Saccharomyces cerevisiae S288C: one gene and its partners. The protein of the gene in region 1 interacts with the protein of each later gene in a biochemical or structural test. Each region holds a gene or a part of one and is shown on either strand. Other genes may lie near its edges.

Region 1 (4,765 bases):
TGCCGTCACATTCTGTGTGCGGTTGCTGGGTGCTGTAAACAAGCTAAAGAAATTTCGCTATCGAACTTAAAGAACAACGCAGTACACTAGTTGGGAGTGAAAACAGTATCATAGAGTGTGTATGGGAGAGAGAAAGAGTTAGATACTAGTAGTATGGAAGGTGAACAGTCTCCGCAAGGTGAAAAGTCTCTGCAAAGGAAGCAATTTGTCAGACCTCCGCTGGATCTGTGGCAGGATCTCAAGGACGGTGTGCGCTACGTGATCTTCGATTGTAGGGCCAATCTTATCGTTATGCCCCTTTTGATTTTGTTCGAAAGCATGCTGTGCAAGATTATCATTAAGAAGGTAGCTTACACAGAGATCGATTACAAGGCGTACATGGAGCAGATCGAGATGATTCAGCTCGATGGCATGCTGGACTACTCTCAGGTGAGTGGTGGAACGGGCCCGCTGGTGTATCCAGCAGGCCACGTCTTGATCTACAAGATGATGTACTGGCTAACAGAGGGAATGGACCACGTTGAGCGCGGGCAAGTGTTTTTCAGATACTTGTATCTCCTTACACTGGCGTTACAAATGGCGTGTTACTACCTTTTACATCTACCACCGTGGTGTGTGGTCTTGGCGTGCCTCTCTAAAAGATTGCACTCTATTTACGTGCTACGGTTATTCAATGATTGCTTCACTACTTTGTTTATGGTCGTCACGGTTTTGGGGGCTATCGTGGCCAGCAGGTGCCATCAGCGCCCCAAATTAAAGAAGTCCCTTGCGCTGGTGATCTCCGCAACATACAGTATGGCTGTGAGCATTAAGATGAATGCGCTGTTGTATTTCCCTGCAATGATGATTTCTCTATTCATCCTTAATGACGCGAACGTAATCCTTACTTTGTTGGATCTCGTTGCGATGATTGCATGGCAAGTCGCAGTTGCAGTGCCCTTCCTGCGCAGCTTTCCGCAACAGTACCTGCATTGCGCTTTTAATTTCGGCAGGAAGTTTATGTACCAATGGAGTATCAATTGGCAAATGATGGATGAAGAGGCTTTCAATGATAAGAGGTTCCACTTGGCCCTTTTAATCAGCCACCTGATAGCGCTCACCACACTGTTCGTCACAAGATACCCTCGCATCCTGCCCGATTTATGGTCTTCCCTGTGCCATCCGCTGAGGAAAAATGCAGTGCTCAATGCCAATCCCGCCAAGACTATTCCATTCGTTCTAATCGCATCCAACTTCATCGGCGTCCTATTTTCAAGGTCCCTCCACTACCAGTTTCTATCCTGGTATCACTGGACTTTGCCTATACTGATCTTTTGGTCGGGAATGCCCTTCTTCGTTGGTCCCATTTGGTACGTCTTGCACGAGTGGTGCTGGAATTCCTATCCACCAAACTCACAAGCAAGCACGCTATTGTTGGCATTGAATACTGTTCTGTTGCTTCTATTGGCCTTGACGCAGCTATCTGGTTCGGTCGCCCTCGCCAAAAGCCATCTTCGTACCACCAGCTCTATGGAAAAAAAGCTCAACTGAAACAGATGTATAAATATCATATAATCGTATTGTTTTAAATCATTTCTTTATACCATCTATATAGTACTACTAGTATTTAATGGTGCCGTTATTACCCGCGCTTGATTTTCCTTTTTTTTTTTGATCAAAAGGATGGAACAGGCTGAAAGTAAACCAAAAGGATCAAAGTGCAAGCAAAGGTGCCACAGAAAAGTTTATCAAAAAACCATACCTAGCTGTGAGAGTTTTAGACTCTGTTTTGGTGACTGCATATCTATTCATAAATCGACACGAACTTTTCGTGCAGGATACATAATAAAAATAGCATGGCGGTAAATCCTGAGTTAGCACCGTTCACCCTCTCGAGAGGAATCCCCAGCTTTGATGATCAAGCTTTGAGCACCATCATACAGCTTCAGGACTGCATTCAGCAGGCTATTCAGCAGTTGAACTACAGTACCGCAGAGTTTTTGGCCGAACTGCTCTATGCTGAATGCTCCATTCTCGATAAATCAAGTGTTTACTGGTCCGATGCGGTATATTTATATGCACTTTCGCTGTTTCTGAATAAAAGCTACCACACTGCGTTCCAGATATCCAAAGAATTCAAGGAGTATCATCTTGGTATCGCTTACATATTCGGGCGTTGTGCTTTACAGCTTTCGCAGGGAGTTAACGAAGCTATCCTCACTCTTCTCTCAATAATAAATGTATTTTCTTCGAACAGCAGTAATACGCGCATAAATATGGTGTTGAATTCTAATCTCGTCCATATTCCCGATTTGGCCACTTTGAATTGCCTGTTAGGCAATCTTTATATGAAACTGGACCATTCTAAGGAGGGAGCATTTTATCATTCTGAAGCATTAGCCATTAATCCTTACCTTTGGGAATCTTACGAAGCGATTTGTAAAATGAGAGCTACCGTGGATCTCAAGAGGGTTTTTTTCGACATTGCAGGGAAAAAAAGTAATAGTCATAATAATAATGCAGCTTCATCGTTTCCGTCTACATCACTATCGCATTTCGAACCTCGTTCACAACCTAGCTTATATTCAAAAACAAACAAAAACGGCAATAATAATATCAATAATAATGTTAATACACTGTTTCAGTCGTCTAATTCTCCCCCTTCTACATCGGCATCTTCTTTTTCTTCCATTCAGCATTTCTCAAGGTCACAGCAGCAACAAGCGAACACATCAATAAGGACCTGCCAGAACAAAAATACTCAAACTCCTAAAAACCCTGCAATCAACAGTAAGACGTCTTCTGCGCTACCAAATAACATTTCCATGAACTTAGTGTCTCCATCCTCCAAACAGCCTACAATAAGCTCGTTGGCCAAAGTTTATAACAGAAACAAACTTTTAACGACTCCTCCATCGAAACTGTTAAATAACGATAGGAACCACCAAAATAACAATAATAATAATAATAATAATAATAATAATAATAATAATAATAATAATAATAATAATAATAATAACATTATAAATAAAACAACTTTCAAAACTCCAAGAAACCTATATTCCTCAACAGGAAGGTTAACAACTTCCAAGAAAAATCCAAGGTCTTTAATAATCAGTAACTCAATACTAACGAGTGATTATTCAATTACGCTGCCTGAAATCATGTATAATTTCGCTTTAATATTAAGGTCGTCATCACAATACAATTCGTTCAAGGCAATAAGACTGTTCGAGTCTCAAATCCCATCTCATATTAAAGACACAATGCCATGGTGTCTAGTGCAATTAGGAAAACTTCATTTTGAGATCATTAATTATGATATGTCCTTAAAGTATTTCAATAGATTGAAAGACCTACAACCGGCAAGGGTAAAAGATATGGAAATTTTTTCTACTTTGCTGTGGCATTTGCATGACAAGGTTAAATCTTCAAATTTGGCAAATGGGCTAATGGATACAATGCCTAATAAGCCCGAAACATGGTGTTGTATAGGTAATTTGCTATCATTGCAAAAGGATCATGATGCCGCAATAAAAGCCTTCGAAAAAGCTACTCAGTTAGACCCAAATTTTGCATACGCGTATACTTTGCAAGGTCATGAACATTCTTCCAACGATTCTTCGGATTCTGCCAAGACATGCTATAGAAAGGCGCTAGCTTGTGATCCTCAGCATTACAATGCATATTACGGATTGGGTACGAGCGCTATGAAATTAGGTCAATATGAAGAAGCGTTGTTATATTTTGAAAAGGCAAGGTCAATTAATCCCGTCAATGTTGTGTTAATCTGTTGTTGCGGTGGTTCTTTAGAAAAGCTGGGCTATAAGGAAAAGGCTCTACAATATTATGAACTAGCATGTCATTTGCAACCGACTTCCTCGCTATCCAAATATAAGATGGGCCAGTTGCTCTATTCCATGACAAGATATAATGTTGCTTTGCAAACTTTTGAAGAATTGGTGAAACTCGTTCCTGATGATGCCACAGCCCATTATTTGCTGGGTCAAACATATAGAATAGTTGGGAGGAAAAAAGATGCAATCAAGGAGCTAACTGTTGCTATGAATTTGGATCCAAAGGGTAACCAAGTTATCATCGATGAATTACAAAAATGTCATATGCAAGAATAAACGCAGGTTGGCCAAAACATAACAAATTGAAACATGTTAAATGTTTTCATAATTCTTTTTGTTCTTCGTTGTTTCATATTTATTTTTAAGTTAATGTAATAGTAATAGTTAATAATAATAACGTTAATGGTAACAATAATAATAATATATATATCCAGTAATTTGAAAGAAGAGGACATCATGTCTGCGGTTCCTGCGATGTACTTCTTGATAGTATCAGTGTCTAATTTGATTGTATTAATTCGTAAACTTTTTATTTTTATATACTTTATATCACTATATTATGTTCTATTAAATATTAATTATTAAGGTGTTTAAGTTGGTCAAGAAGTAACTAATGATTGCAGTTCTCAAAGTCTGCCACCAGGGTATTCAAATGCTGAACTTTCCAGGTAATCGCTGGTCTCAAATTGATCTTGTTCGATTGGATAATTAGAATTTCTTTTATTTTGGGTGTCATCCCATCCAAATTGATCTCTTCCCTCTTCCTCTTCAGCATCTCTTAACTGGGTTTGTAACCTAGCTTCTTCCAATAGCGTCTGTGCCTTGCTTAGAGGTATCGTTGGTGTGGCATATGAACTAATGACAGGGACGCTTGTATCAATATCAATAGTGGCCTTTATTATGGCTGACAGCCATGCCTTCATTTCAGA
Region 2 (3,530 bases), on another chromosome or scaffold:
ACTGCGCCTCTAAAACATAAGGCGGCACTGTGGTAGGCACAAACGTGTAAGTATTTAATTTTGGATAGTCTAGTGGTGAACCATCACTGTGTTTGGGAACATGTATCTTTGCATTCTGTAATGCTTCCAGTGAACCTGACTTCCTTACTGTTTGATTTTTTTCAAGATCCACGTTTAAATTAAGTTGATTTTGATCTGCGATTCTAGAAGCGTTCGTGGATGTTGTATCAGAATACGCTTCTTGGCTGGAATTAGAATCCCCCATTAAATTTGTCAGTGTAAAAAAAAAGAACGCCTCAAAAAATGCAAAAAAATATCATTCACTTTCCCTTCTCAGCAATCTCACGGTTTCGAAATAGCAATCAAAGTATTTTTATAATTGACTAAACAAAAGGTGGTTGGAGACTTTGTGTTGTAGCTTAGAATTTCTTCCACTATATGAAAGCCAAGACCTCTTCTCCTCTTTCGACACTTCGTTTATTTCCACTTTCCCTTATTTAGTATTCATCGTTCAGAATGCTTTCTTTATTTCACGACGGTTACCACACCCGTACACCCTTATCTCATTTCACCAGTACCTTTCCTTATTAGATTCATCTTATTTTATTTTAGGATTTTTAGGTCATTGTACGACGCGTGTCGCACCATGGAAAAGGTGTCGCAGCTGCGATGCTATCCATTTACCCGTCATCATTGCTGGCAGAAATCCCATCTTCCTCTGCTGGGGTGATTTATATATATGGAGAGTTAACGAATGTAATATTTCTGAATGTTAAATAATTGTTATCCGTCATTATTGTTTCACTTCTCTCTTTGAAATTTCGCTTGTTTTCTGTTTTCATCTTATATTTTACTTCAATCCTAAGATAGTCATATCGACTTAATTCCAAATGAGAGCTAAGTGGAGAAAGAAGAGAACTAGAAGACTTAAGAGAAAGAGACGGAAGGTGAGAGCCAGATCCAAATAAGCGGATTGAGAGCAAATCGTTAAGTTCAGGTCAAGTAAAAATTGATTTCGAAAACTAATTTCTCTTATACAATCCTTTGATTGGACCGTCATCCTTTCGAATATAAGATTTTGTTAAGAATATTTTAGACAGAGATCTACTTTATATTTAATATCTAGATATTACATAATTTCCTCTCTAATAAAATATCATTAATAAAATAAAAATGAAGCGATTTGATTTTGTGTTGTCAACTTAGTTTGCCGCTATGCCTCTTGGGTAATGCTATTATTGAATCGAAGGGCTTTATTATATTACCCTTTAGCTTATTCTGAGGTTTCTGTGGCGTGCAAAGTGATGAACCGGGCGGGTTTTAAGGATAAAATCAAAAAGTGAAAAAATGAACGGAAAATGGAATACCTGTGAAATGGAGAATGATAATGAATCTTTCTGTCGTGCTTGAAAGATTTTCGGCTATTTTAATCGACTAACACATAGTAGTAGAAATAGTTTTCCGGATTACATTAGTTCGGCATTCTTTTTAGCAGGTTTTTGTTACAGGTTCCTTTCGACGCACCGTTTCACAGTAAAGGAGGTAATTAGTGAATCAGACGCTGCACTTTCATTGATTTTGATATACACATACTCCAATTAGTTTTAGTGTAAATTAAATTGCCCCAGTGGACACGATATTTACAAAAAGTGTTTTATTCTTCTTAGAAATACACCTGTTGGACTGCTCTTTTTTCACTCGTCTTCCCCTAGTTTTCTTTCCTTACCAGTAATTTAGTAAGAGTTTAGTGAGTTCAGGTTGAATAGAGTTATTATCTAATTTTAAACTGTTAATTTTACCGGTTGTGTTTTTTGAAATAAGGCAAAAGAGAAAGAAAAAAACAAATTATTTTGCCCCTATTTAGTTCATAGTGGAAAGAGGGATATAAATTATCGCATAAAACAATAAACAAAAAGAAAAATGGATACAGATTTAGATGTGCCTATGCAAGATGCTGTTACCGAACAGCTGACTCCCACAGTATCTGAAGATATGGATCTCAACAACAATTCATCGGATAATAATGCAGAAGAATTCTCGGTTGATGATTTAAAACCTGGTTCCTCGGGCATAGCAGATCACAAATCTTCCAAACCACTAGAACTGAATAACACAAATATAAATCAGCTTGACCAATGGATTGAGCATTTGAGTAAATGCGAGCCACTATCAGAAGACGATGTAGCACGACTATGTAAAATGGCGGTGGACGTGTTGCAGTTCGAGGAGAATGTTAAACCAATTAACGTGCCTGTTACCATTTGTGGTGACGTACACGGTCAATTCCATGACTTGTTAGAACTTTTTAAGATTGGTGGCCCTTGTCCTGACACCAATTACCTTTTCATGGGTGATTACGTGGATAGAGGATATTATTCTGTTGAAACTGTATCTTACCTAGTTGCCATGAAAGTCAGATACCCACATAGAATTACGATACTGAGAGGCAATCACGAGTCTAGGCAGATTACCCAAGTATACGGGTTTTATGATGAATGTTTGAGAAAGTACGGCAGTGCAAACGTGTGGAAAATGTTCACAGATCTTTTCGATTATTTTCCTATAACCGCATTAGTAGATAATAAAATTTTCTGTCTGCATGGAGGACTTTCCCCCATGATAGAAACCATAGATCAGGTGAGAGAGTTGAACAGAATACAGGAAGTGCCTCATGAAGGTCCTATGTGTGACCTTCTATGGTCAGACCCTGACGATAGAGGCGGATGGGGAATCAGTCCCAGAGGTGCAGGCTTCACTTTTGGACAAGATGTCAGTGAGCAATTCAATCACACTAATGATCTATCACTAATAGCAAGAGCTCACCAATTGGTAATGGAAGGCTATGCTTGGTCTCACCAGCAAAATGTTGTCACCATTTTCAGTGCTCCTAATTACTGCTACAGATGTGGTAATCAAGCAGCTATCATGGAAGTGGACGAGAATCATAATAGACAATTCTTACAGTACGACCCATCCGTAAGACCAGGTGAACCTAGCGTCAGCAGAAAGACGCCAGATTACTTTTTATGAGTATGTATACATATATGCATCTATATAGATATATATTCACTTTTCTCCTTTACCATTATCATAGTTAATTACACATTTAGCCAAAAATAAACTGCAAATTGCCTTGCAAATTTTCTTCTTTTATTATTCTTCAGATATATCAATCAATACGAGGCTTTTTTTCCTCCCCAACGCTTTAATCATTCTGATCATTACTCCGGGTGAAACGGTTCTCTAACGCGATCGTTTAAATTTCGCGATAGATCAGGGAAACGTTATAAAGATTGAGTGGAAAGAACTTCCATTCTTCAGGCTGCTTGTATTACTTTGATTCTTTTTCTAGCCACACGAATAACTCGAGTATTGAGCTTTTTTATTAGAGAAAAACTGAATAATGGCCGAAGAAAGTACCGACTTTAGTCAATTCGAAGAGGAGAGAAACAACGATCAGTATAAAGTTTCAGCCAAAAAAACTGTTGACGAATACAAAAATCTGGATGCTGAAGACGAATCCTTGGCGA
Region 3 (3,229 bases), 490 kb from region 1:
TAATTCTACACACTTCTTAACTGATAATATTATTATAATTGTAACTTTTTAGCAGCACTAAATTTAATGAATACATAGATTTTTAACTAGCATTTTACTATTCTGTACTTTTTACTTGAAATTCCAGAAGGGCCGAAGAAACCAGAATTCCTTCACAGAAAACTATTGAACTACAGAATTCTCCAAAAGATACACTCATAGTGTTAAGACGAATCAATGTCTCGGATTTGGAAGTCCTTTATAGAGATAATTGTAGGGGCCTTTTGTAATGTTTCGGATGTTCTGTTTTAAGTCCGCGGGAGGCCTTTTTATTTTTCGCTTTTTTAGAGATTTCACGAATAAAAGCGTTGCAGAAATGCAACTTCAAAAGAGACTGAAGGAAACACAGATAGAAGAACAGTCTTCAAAGCAATCAATTCGTGTCGGTGCAGCTTAAGAAATGACTTTTATGCAACAGCTTCAAGAGGCTGGGGAAAGATTTAGGTGTATCAATGGTCTTTTATGGGTTGTTTTTGGGCTTGGTGTCTTAAAATGTACAACGTTATCACTTAGATTTTTAGCTCTTATTTTTGATCTTTTTTTACTACCAGCAGTCAATTTCGACAAGTATGGTGCTAAAACTGGTAAATACTGTGCTATCACTGGTGCAAGTGACGGTATTGGTAAAGAATTTGCTAGACAAATGGCGAAACGTGGCTTCAACTTGGTATTGATCTCGAGAACGCAATCTAAATTGGAGGCTTTACAAAAAGAACTAGAAGATCAACATCATGTCGTTGTAAAGATTCTAGCCATTGACATTGCGGAGGATAAAGAATCCAACTATGAATCCATTAAGGAATTGTGTGCGCAGTTACCAATCACCGTTTTGGTCAATAATGTTGGTCAATCACACTCCATTCCTGTTCCATTTTTGGAAACAGAAGAGAAGGAGCTTAGAAATATTATCACTATCAATAACACTGCTACATTATTAATTACACAAATCATTGCACCAAAGATTGTGGAAACTGTGAAAGCTGAAAACAAGAAGTCGGGTACTCGTGGTTTGATCTTAACCATGGGCTCATTTGGTGGTCTGATTCCCACCCCACTTTTGGCTACATACAGTGGTTCGAAATCATTCTTACAAGGTTGGTCTAACTCTTTGGCTGGGGAATTATCTAAAGATGCTATCGATGTTGAATTAATCATTTCATATTTGGTCACTAGCTCGATGTCTAAAATCAGAAGATCATCTTTAATGATCCCAAATCCACAACAGTTTGTAAAATCCACTTTAAGAAGCGTTGGCAGACGCTGCGGCTCTCAAGAAAGATACGCTACTATGACCCCTTACTGGGCGCACGCAGTGTATCAATTTGTAATTACAGAGACCTTTGGCGTTTACTCTAAGATTGTTAACTCCATTAATTATTCCTTCCATAAATCTATCAGAATTAGAGCCTTAAAAAAAGCCGCAAGACAGGTTAAAAAGGAATAGAATTATCGTTCTCGAGATAGTTTTTATACAATACATATATATATATATATATATATATTTACAAGAAAAGCATGGCTTATGTATTATACTTGCTTATGTACCAATATATACATATATGGCCTTATTAGGGCAACAAACGCCAAAAATAAAAACGAACCTAAATGAGAAAAAAAGAGAAAAATTTGGAAAACAACAAGAACTCAAAAAAAAAAATTGGTGGAAGGACCAAGTCCTCTTGAAAGAAAATTTAATACTGCTTTTCCAGAATATCATATTGGAAAAAATATTCAAGCCAGCACATCAGCTACAGTGGAAAATAGCCCAGATCAAATAGAACTATCCTTCGAACATGAGCGGTGAATTAGCAAATTACAAAAGACTTGAGAAAGTCGGTGAAGGTACATACGGTGTTGTTTATAAAGCGTTAGACTTAAGACCTGGCCAAGGTCAAAGAGTAGTCGCATTGAAGAAAATAAGACTAGAGAGTGAAGACGAGGGTGTTCCCAGTACAGCCATCAGAGAAATCTCATTATTGAAGGAATTAAAAGACGATAATATTGTCAGATTATACGATATTGTTCACTCTGATGCACACAAGCTATATCTTGTTTTTGAGTTCCTCGATTTGGACCTGAAAAGATATATGGAGGGTATTCCAAAGGACCAACCGTTAGGAGCTGATATTGTTAAGAAGTTTATGATGCAACTTTGTAAGGGTATTGCATACTGCCACTCACACCGTATTCTGCATCGTGATTTAAAACCGCAGAACTTATTGATTAACAAAGATGGGAATCTAAAACTAGGTGATTTTGGCTTAGCGCGTGCTTTTGGTGTTCCGTTGAGAGCTTACACACATGAAATTGTTACTCTATGGTATAGAGCTCCGGAGGTATTACTGGGTGGAAAACAATATAGTACAGGTGTCGATACATGGTCCATCGGCTGTATATTTGCCGAAATGTGTAACAGGAAACCAATCTTCAGTGGCGATAGTGAGATCGATCAGATTTTCAAGATATTCAGAGTATTGGGAACGCCGAATGAAGCTATATGGCCAGATATTGTCTACTTGCCTGATTTCAAGCCAAGCTTTCCTCAATGGCGCAGAAAAGACCTATCACAAGTGGTACCAAGTCTAGATCCACGCGGTATTGATTTGTTGGACAAACTCCTCGCGTATGACCCTATTAACCGGATTAGCGCCAGAAGAGCAGCCATCCACCCCTACTTCCAAGAATCATAAGCATTATAATCTATTTCGCTATTATATTACAAATGCTACTGCACTGTCATTATAGCCTAGTAAAGTATATAGTGAATACAATATACTCAGTTTCAACATTATGATGGGTAACTCCATCAGAAAATATATTCATCGTCATATACGGAACATTCAGTTATACGCGAAAGTAAAAGTGAGAGCTTTTCAGGGGTTAAAAGCTGGGCGTGTTCCATGACGTATTTACCGAGGTCGTATTATCAAAGAAAATGAAAAAAAAAAAAAAAAAAAAAAAAGCGAAGAGGAAAAAGACAAACGAAAAACAAAACGAAATAACGCATTGTATGCTGGGGCCTCAATTGAACTTCTTTGACTATAAGGAGTTCGCTTGTTTAAAGCCGTTTCGCATCTGACTCGCCCTTGGTTTTTTTCTCTGTTCTTGTTTTTGACCTCCGCAAATTCATTGCTCTTTGAATTTTGAAGAGTTTCATTGTCACCGTTGAATAACCGAGACGGGTATTGTT

What was found. The genes of interacting proteins can lie anywhere in the genome.
Region 2: of the proteins of CDC27 (region 1) and PPH21, one has a biochemical effect on the other in vitro, tested with the Saccharomyces cerevisiae proteins (one study listed by BioGRID).
Region 3: of the proteins of CDC27 (region 1) and CDC28, one has a biochemical effect on the other in vitro, tested with the Saccharomyces cerevisiae proteins (4 studies listed by BioGRID).

The regions. Positions count from the first base shown.
Region 1 is NC_001134.8:66,516-71,280, reverse strand, and holds CDC27 (anaphase promoting complex subunit CDC27), read left to right. Parts: upstream 1-1,835; coding exon 1,836-4,112; downstream 4,113-4,765. Other genes in the region: ALG3 (dolichyl-P-Man:Man(5)GlcNAc(2)-PP-dolichol alpha-1,3-mannosyltransferase), read left to right, coding at 154-1,530; BOI1 (Boi1p), read right to left, coding at 4,463-4,765. UniProt on the Saccharomyces cerevisiae protein: Component of the anaphase promoting complex/cyclosome (APC/C), a cell cycle-regulated E3 ubiquitin-protein ligase complex that controls progression through mitosis and the G1 phase of the cell cycle.
Region 2 is NC_001136.10:219,162-222,691, reverse strand, and holds PPH21 (phosphoprotein phosphatase 2A catalytic subunit PPH21), read left to right. Parts: upstream 1-1,920; coding exon 1,921-3,030; downstream 3,031-3,530. Other genes in the region: SRF1 (phospholipase D regulator), read right to left, coding at 1-265; 60S ribosomal protein eL41 RPL41B, read left to right, coding at 891-968; RDI1 (Rdi1p), read left to right, coding at 3,404-3,530. UniProt on the Saccharomyces cerevisiae protein: Exact function not known, phosphatase 2A performs an essential cellular function.
Region 3 is NC_001134.8:558,246-561,474, forward strand, and holds CDC28 (cyclin-dependent serine/threonine-protein kinase CDC28), read left to right. Parts: upstream 1-1,832; coding exon 1,833-2,729; downstream 2,730-3,229. Other genes in the region: IFA38 (ketoreductase), read left to right, coding at 440-1,483. UniProt on the Saccharomyces cerevisiae protein: Cyclin-dependent kinase that acts as a master regulator of the mitotic and meiotic cell cycles. Required to drive the G1-S transition. More than 200 substrates have been identified. Substrate specificity is in part regulated by the bound cyclin protein.